2 linked regions of the Saccharomyces cerevisiae S288C genome follow. Each later gene encodes a partner of the first gene's protein in a complex. Each region holds a gene or a part of one and is shown in the gene's direction. Other genes may lie near its edges. The genes, in order: GCS1 and RET2.

Evidence for each region.
Region 2: the proteins of GCS1 (region 1) and RET2 are in contact, whole or in part, in a crystal structure (PDB 5FJX), measured with the Saccharomyces cerevisiae proteins. Residues at the interface, in NP_010055.1 of Saccharomyces cerevisiae: Lys348 (codon at 2,787), Trp349 (codon at 2,790), Asp350 (codon at 2,793), Phe352 (codon at 2,799); in NP_116709.3 of Saccharomyces cerevisiae: Lys348 (codon at 2,840), Thr349 (codon at 2,843), His350 (codon at 2,846), Pro351 (codon at 2,849), Asn352 (codon at 2,852), Leu366 (codon at 2,894), Lys371 (codon at 2,909), Ala372 (codon at 2,912), Phe373 (codon at 2,915), Pro374 (codon at 2,918), Ser379 (codon at 2,933), Leu380 (codon at 2,936), Gly381 (codon at 2,939), Val382 (codon at 2,942), Leu383 (codon at 2,945), Arg384 (codon at 2,948).

Annotation. Positions count from the first base shown.
Region 1 is NC_001136.10:50,330-53,918, reverse strand, and holds GCS1 (GTPase-activating protein GCS1), read left to right. Parts: upstream 1-1,745; coding exon 1,746-2,804; downstream 2,805-3,589. Other genes in the region: septin SHS1, read right to left, coding at 1-1,474. UniProt on the Saccharomyces cerevisiae protein: GTPase-activating protein (GAP) for ARF1 and ARF2. Involved in intracellular vesicular transport. Required for transport from the trans-Golgi network.
Region 2 is NC_001138.5:249,340-253,601, reverse strand, and holds RET2 (coatomer subunit delta), read left to right. Parts: upstream 1-1,798; coding exon 1,799-3,439; downstream 3,440-4,262. Other genes in the region: HXK1 (hexokinase 1), read left to right, coding at 1-10; proteasome regulatory particle lid subunit RPN12, read right to left, coding at 273-1,097; PRE4 (proteasome core particle subunit beta 7), read left to right, coding at 3,736-4,262. UniProt on the Saccharomyces cerevisiae protein: The coatomer is a cytosolic protein complex that binds to dilysine motifs and reversibly associates with Golgi non-clathrin-coated vesicles, which further mediate biosynthetic protein transport from the ER, via the Golgi up to the trans Golgi network.

The DNA of each region.
Region 1 (3,589 bases):
TTTGTAATTCTTTAGCTGACTGGGCCTCTAACTCTTCCAGTTTTTGTTGTCTTGCTAAAATTCTTTCATGTCTCAAGACATATGGAACGGTTTCTGAAATATTTCTTAACTTGGTACGCTCTGGTAAGTCCGGAGAGTTCAAGAATTTTGGTGAAGATTCTGTTTTGATAGATCTTATCAAATTTTCATTTTCTTGTTTTATTTCTCTACCCAACTGTCTCACGGGAGACATTTCCTGTTCATTTTCTGCTGAATCATGTTCGCCATTGTCTTCGTATTCGTTTTCCTTAAAGTTTCCACTTACTTGGTTTCTTGGTGTGTCCGCTCTCAAATTGTTTGCAAGAGTTTGAGAAGAATTGAATTGACCAGTGCTTATCAAAGAGGCAAAGTTGCTTAAACTTGGAGCATTTGACTGTCTCTTTGTAGAATTAGGACCAATTTCTTCAGCGTTGGCCACGGACGATAGTTTTTCGGAACGGTAATTCTCGTAAAGCAAATTTTGCGTGGTGTCTTTGAATTCTTGTAAGTGAGAACCAAACAGGACGTTTTTTAAAACTTTCAAATCCGAAATTTTGTCGTCGTCGATTGATATTATCCCCCACGGATACTCCCTAACGTATCTACCTTCACTATCTCTGGTATCTGAAGTTATAATAGCAAATGGTTGCAAGGATGCCAAGGCTTGATTCTCTTCCATGGATTCCAAATCATCATCTTCAGGGTCAACCTCAAATTTGTAAATTGGGACGTTGTATCTTTCCACATCAAACATAATATTTTTCCTGAATTGAGTTAGCTCCTCCTTGGTGAATGAGTCAGCTCTTGTTATTATTGGCAGTACATTTGTGTATTTGGAGATGCTTTTCATGAGCTCTACATCGACTTCTCTCAGACCGTGTCCAGTGGGTTCAATAAAATATAATGCTACGTGAACCCTGGTGTCCTCAAACCTCGGATTCCTTTTAATTCTGGTTTCCTCAGCTAAAACAATGTCAAATTGTTGTTCTAAATACGACATAACTTCCTCAGAACACAACGAATCGTCCAAGTTTTCGCCTATACCATGCGTCATAATCAAGTTGAAAAACACGGTATCATCCTCGTTCATTTCTGGCTTTCCTTGATCTTTGTTGCCCCCAAGTTCTAATGAAGTGGAGGTGATGGTAATACCTGGTTCCAAATTGGCTCTCATTGGATCGAATTCAGAAACATAAGATGGAATCCCATTTTTCGAATTAAATGAAACAACTTTTGTCGGAGCAATAACTTTTACTTCTGGGTTAGAGCTAATACTAGCATTTGATTTACCGTATTGATACTTATGCGGAAAGATCTTAGTTTCCAATAGATTGTTAGCAAAGGCGGTCTTTCCTGTACCTGCTGGCCCACATAGTAACATTGTGTATGTGATCCCACGTTTATGTTCTTTCTTTCTACGAAATAAGTTAATTGGCGGTGTTGAAGCAGTGCTCATGATTAATAATATATTTTTCTAGCAATTATAAGCAGATCTTTGGGGCTCTTGTTTTATTATTTCACTTGCTGGGTACATTGATCTTGCTCGAAAGCTTGTTATATTCTTTTCGCAGTTTGGCACTTTAAAAATCGCGCGGTTACCCGCAAGCAACGCCAGTTTTTGTCAAGAACCAAATTGCACAACTATATCAAGAATGAAAGCAGAAATATGGACGTGATTCTGAGTTTAAATGGTGCCAATTGAGCAATTTTATCGCGGATTATAGAGCATGTCAGATTGGAAAGTGGACCCAGATACCCGCAGGCGTCTTTTGCAATTGCAAAAGATTGGTGCAAATAAGAAATGTATGGATTGTGGTGCGCCAAATCCACAATGGGCCACGCCTAAGTTTGGAGCTTTCATTTGCCTTGAATGTGCCGGTATCCATAGAGGGCTTGGTGTGCATATATCTTTTGTAAGATCTATCACTATGGATCAGTTTAAACCGGAGGAACTTCTTCGTATGGAAAAAGGTGGTAACGAACCTTTGACTGAATGGTTCAAGTCGCATAATATTGACCTGAGTTTACCACAAAAAGTGAAATACGATAACCCCGTCGCAGAGGATTATAAAGAAAAGTTAACATGTCTTTGCGAAGATAGAGTATTTGAAGAGCGTGAGCATTTGGATTTTGATGCTTCCAAGTTATCAGCAACCTCTCAAACCGCTGCATCCGCTACGCCTGGTGTTGCTCAAAGTCGAGAAGGGACACCACTGGAGAACCGTCGATCTGCAACACCAGCAAACTCTAGTAATGGTGCCAATTTTCAAAAGGAGAAGAACGAAGCTTATTTTGCTGAGCTGGGCAAGAAGAACCAATCTAGACCAGATCATTTGCCCCCTTCTCAAGGTGGTAAATATCAGGGCTTTGGAAGTACACCCGCAAAACCTCCACAAGAACGGTCTGCAGGGTCCAGCAATACTTTGAGCCTGGAAAATTTTCAAGCTGATCCTTTGGGAACATTGAGCAGAGGATGGGGCCTCTTCTCCAGCGCTGTAACCAAATCGTTCGAGGACGTAAACGAAACGGTTATTAAGCCTCACGTCCAGCAATGGCAATCCGGAGAGTTGTCAGAAGAAACGAAGAGAGCAGCTGCCCAGTTTGGCCAAAAGTTTCAAGAAACGAGTAGTTATGGATTCCAAGCATTTAGTAACTTCACTAAAAATTTCAATGGTAATGCAGAGGATAGCTCTACAGCAGGGAATACAACCCATACAGAATATCAAAAGATTGATAATAACGATAAGAAGAATGAACAGGACGAGGACAAATGGGACGATTTCTAATTTTAATATAGTTTTTCTCAACATTCAAGGAAAGTTCAATTCACATTGTAGCTATAATGGAGAAGTGGTTCTGTAAAGTTTACACGTAATACTTCTGTCTCTAAATTTGTATTTTTCATATCTTGACAAGAAGAGGTTTACTCTCTAGGATTATAAATAAGTCTACACCAGTATTCATAAATAGTTACCACAAGGCCATATCGTAAATTATTATACAACCTATTAATTACAAATAGAATTGCAATCCTTTCCCATCGGCGTTGTTGTACTGTTGCAAGGCTAATGACGGCTATTATTAAAAAATGTTTTAGACCTGGGACAATCGTTATCCTTTTCTTCATTATTTGGATGTTTGCGCCTTAAAATTATCCTGGGCACGAGTGAAACAAAGCTAAAACCTTTATTTAGCATGGCCATTGAATGTAACAATTATATATATCGCAAGCACAAAAAATCAAGGAGAGAGAACTACCACTTTGTTCATGTGTACAATGTTCATTATCTCCATAAGCAAAAAAAAAAAATAGAAAACATATGCTATAAGGTTGATATTCTCACGAGTAAGCGGCACTTGCTACTTATTGACATTGCAGATTTTTGGCTACAGAAATAGTATATTAGAGATTATAATTGCTAATCAAATCAAAATATAAAATTAGTAAACCAAACCATTTATACCCTTCCTTAGTAGTTATGGATTGTTTTTTAATGATATTTCTGCAAACCAAAGAAAGATTGTTATCCAGATAGAATTTAGTTTTGATATTCATTTTTTTGTTGAAGAT
Region 2 (4,262 bases), on another chromosome or scaffold:
TGGCGCTTAATGAAAAAAATGTAATGAAATATAAATGTGTTTTTCCCTCCCTTAATATTATTATTCTTATGAGTGATGCCCTTATGTTTTTTTTGCGGTCTAGTATATGTAAATATAGACACACACATATATATATATTTATGTGTATAATCCTAGCTAATAAACATTTTTAGATTGTTATTAGTATAATTTTTTCCACTTACTTTGTTCTCCGGGAGAGAAAAAGTTGTTTATTTTGTAGTAATTTTGTGCACATATTATATATACAAATATTACACAATATTTTCAATACTTATGGCATAATCCATTGCTTTTTCGATAATGTTTGTCTTTTGGTCTTCTTCATGCATCATTTCATCTTCGTAATCAGCTTTCTCCTTTGATTGGTTATTGAAGTAAACTTTCGAGTTGACAATAGGCCAGTTTCTCTCTAGTGCAAATTTTTCAGTTTCTTTTTCGTTGTTGAAAAAGAGCAAAGCCTTTATGTTGGAGAGAGGGAGAAAGTCGTAGGATAGCTCGGTATTTTTAGCAATTTCGTCTCTTATAGCTGATTTTAGGATATCGGTAAAAGAGTCGAATTCTGATATATTCTGCGACCCAGATTGCAGAAGATCCCATGCTTTCTGGTACGACCCTTCCATGAGCCATCTGTCTAGTTTGATAGGGTAAGACAAAAGTGAATCGTCTTCCAAGTTCTTGATATGTTTATCTAGATACTGCAATTCCGAGTGAAACTTGGTTGTGTTATTCTGAGACAATAAGTTCAACAAATACAGACTTATCAGCTTCGATTTCTTGTCAGATTCAGATAATTTATGATTGTTGCTAAAGTAGTAAGGCTTCAATTGGTTGAAGTAATTCTCGAAGCTGTCAAAATTGAAAGTTTGGATGCTAGCAAGGGCACCTACTTCCAGGATCCTTTTAGTAATCATCAAATCATTCAAATAGATGTCATTTTGAATGGATAAGTCAGGTATTAAAAGGTTATTCTTGATAAGTTCGATCTTGATAGGGGGCAAGAGCTTCTCACACGCGGCATAATCGCCGTTTTCAAAGGCTATGCTTAACGACTTGGTCAATTCGGCTAACGAGGGCATTACGATGGCTTCTTATCTCACTTCAATAGTACTTTCCACCGGTTATACTTCCGGCTTTTCCCTATTAATACAAGCTACAATTTCAATGGGTGGCAAATAATGTGTAGAATAGAAAATAAGCCGACAGGGTAATAAAGAAAATTTTTAGAAAAAAAAGGTTAGATGGCTTATTTAAGTTACAGGCTAGCGAAAAAAGGAACTTCAGGGCAAGTAAAGTGTTTGATTGGGCACTAGCATGGCTTATAAAGGCGAGCAATTGTCGAAACTAATTAATGTTGTACGGACTATTGCTGTCTTCTCGTGGTAAATGCGTGTTCCAGGTCGAATACTACTTGCACACAGGCGAGCGGGGCCCCATAAAAGTGTTGCCGATTTGTTAAGTTGTCTTTTCGGTTTTTCTACTCTGTTATTCCTTACTTCCCTTTTTAAGAACTCTTTTTATCCTTCATTTAGGATCTTGCACGTTTCCGCCTCATCACTTGAATTAAAACATGTCTCTGTCAGTAAACCTTGGCGTTTCTATTGTTCTTCATAGTTCAACTTTTATTATTACCCGCCCTGCGCGTTTACATTTTTCCAGCAACAGCCAGCGAAAAATTAGAAAATCTGGTTGTTGACACCTCAAGAACAAGGGCAATTAGCCTCAGCGTCGAATATAGATCATATTAGAATACCTATAGCTCCATCAAAAGAAATACACAATGGTGGTTTTGGCTGCTTCTATCACTACGCGTCAGGGGAAACCTCTCTTGTCCAGGCAATTCAAAGATCTGTCCAAGGATCGAGTCCTAGAGTTGCTGTCCAATTTCCAGAACCTAGTCTCCGAGATCTCGTCAGACCACACATTTGTCGAGGACAAGCACGTCCGCTACGTGTATAGGCCCTTTGATAACTACTACATTATTCTTATCACAAACCGCCAGTCCAATATTATCAAGGATTTGGCCACATTAAATCTGTTTTCACAGACGATCAACTCCTACTTGTCTAGTTTCCAAGACCAAGAGATTTTTCACAATGCCTTTGAGATCTTGTCCTCGTTCGACGAAATCGTGTCAATGGGCGGGTACAAAGAGAACTTGTCCTTTACTCAAGTGCAAACATACTTGTCTATGGAGTCGCACGAAGAAAGAATCCAGGAAATTATTGAGCGTAATAAAGAGATCGAAGCTACTGAGGAGAGGAAGCGCCGTGCTAAGGAAATTGCTAGAAAAGAACATGAAAGGAAACACGGGTTTATGTCTTCAAATGGCGATTACGACGGCGCCAATAGGTTCATGGGAAGTAAAGATCCTAACGTTACAAACGCCATCAACAGTTACTACTCCCATGCTTCTCCTGCAGCACAACAGTCTTATCTACAAAGTTCCCATGCCGCTGCTGCTGAGGTGGCCCCAGTGGCCTCCCCAATGGCTACGTCTCAGCGTGCGGGACATTCTGCTACTGGCGGTATGAAATTGGGTGGTGGTGCCGGAAGAAGAGCGGGTGCCGCACCACGGCCAAGTGCAATTTCTTCAGCCTCTTCTGGCACTCCACCTCCTCCGGAGGAGGATGTCCCAGAGAACAATGGTATTTTGATCTCTATCAAGGAGGTAATCAATGCAGAATTCTCCAGAGATGGTACCATTCACTCTTCTGAATTGAAAGGTGTTTTAGAACTAAGAATTAATGACCATGACTTATCTCACTCGAACCTAAAACTAGCTGATTCTATTGACGTTCGCGATAAATCCTTCCAGTTTAAGACCCATCCAAACATAGATAAACAATCGTTCCTATCCACTAAACTTATCTCCCTGCGTGATAAATCTAAGGCTTTCCCAGCCAACGACCAAAGCCTGGGTGTTCTAAGATGGCGTAAAGTCGCTCCCGCAGAAGATGACTCATTAATTCCATTAACTCTAACTACATGGGTTTCCCCCTCCGAATCACAACAGGGCTTTGATGTCATTATTGAGTATGAGAGCGTCCTGGAAACAGAACTCGCTGATGTGATCTTCACCATTCCAGTTTTCCCTCAGGAGCCAGTAGACATAAATACAGAGTCTTCTACATGCTCTGACGCTGAAGTTGTCAACATGGACCAAGAAATGGGAACCTCCATTAAGATTAGCAAAATTGCTGCCAACGATGCAGGTGCGCTAGCATTCACTATCGAAGCTCCATATGAAGATGCATTGTACCCAATGACCGTTTCCTTCCAAGAGTCCACGAGGGATAAATTAGCTAAGAGTTTCACCGGTATGGCCATACAATCTGTTGTCATGGCCAATGACCACGATCAAGAGCTCCCTTACGACGTCATCACCTCTTTGAAATCAGATGAATATCTTGTCCAATAGTACGTTACATTCACATATAAAATACTTAAGTTATATACACAAACTAAATAAATAAAAATCGAGGTATCTTTTCTTTCGTCCTTCTATATATATAGTTTAACTTACTCTTATTCTTTATTATTTTTCCTTTTAGGGTTACCCGTCAATCCTTTTTATTAAAGATGTTCCAGCTTCTTGGTTTAGAATTTGCCACCTTAAATACGTACCCACATAGTAAAGTACAGCTAAGTTAAGAAAGGGGATAAGCAGCAGGAATCCTTCATCTTCCGCCGAAAACAACATAAAAACCCACACGAATGAATCACGATCCTTTCAGTTGGGGCAGGCCCGCAGACTCTACTTATGGTGCTTACAATACACAAATTGCGAACGCAGGCGCCTCTCCCATGGTTAATACACAGCAACCAATAGTAACAGGTACTTCCGTCATATCAATGAAATATGATAATGGGGTTATCATTGCAGCAGATAATTTAGGTTCATATGGCTCTCTTCTAAGATTCAATGGCGTGGAGAGGCTTATTCCCGTGGGTGATAACACCGTTGTGGGCATTTCAGGTGATATTTCTGATATGCAACACATTGAGAGATTATTGAAAGATCTAGTCACTGAAAATGCGTATGACAATCCTCTAGCGGATGCTGAAGAAGCGCTCGAACCCAGCTATATTTTTGAATATCTAGCTACCGTCATGTACCAGCGAAGATCAAAGATGAATCCACTTTGGAATGCCATCATTGTTGCTGGTGTACAGTCTAATGGTGATCAATTCCTAAGATACGTAAATCTTCTAGGTGTTACGTATTCGTCTCCCACCTTGGC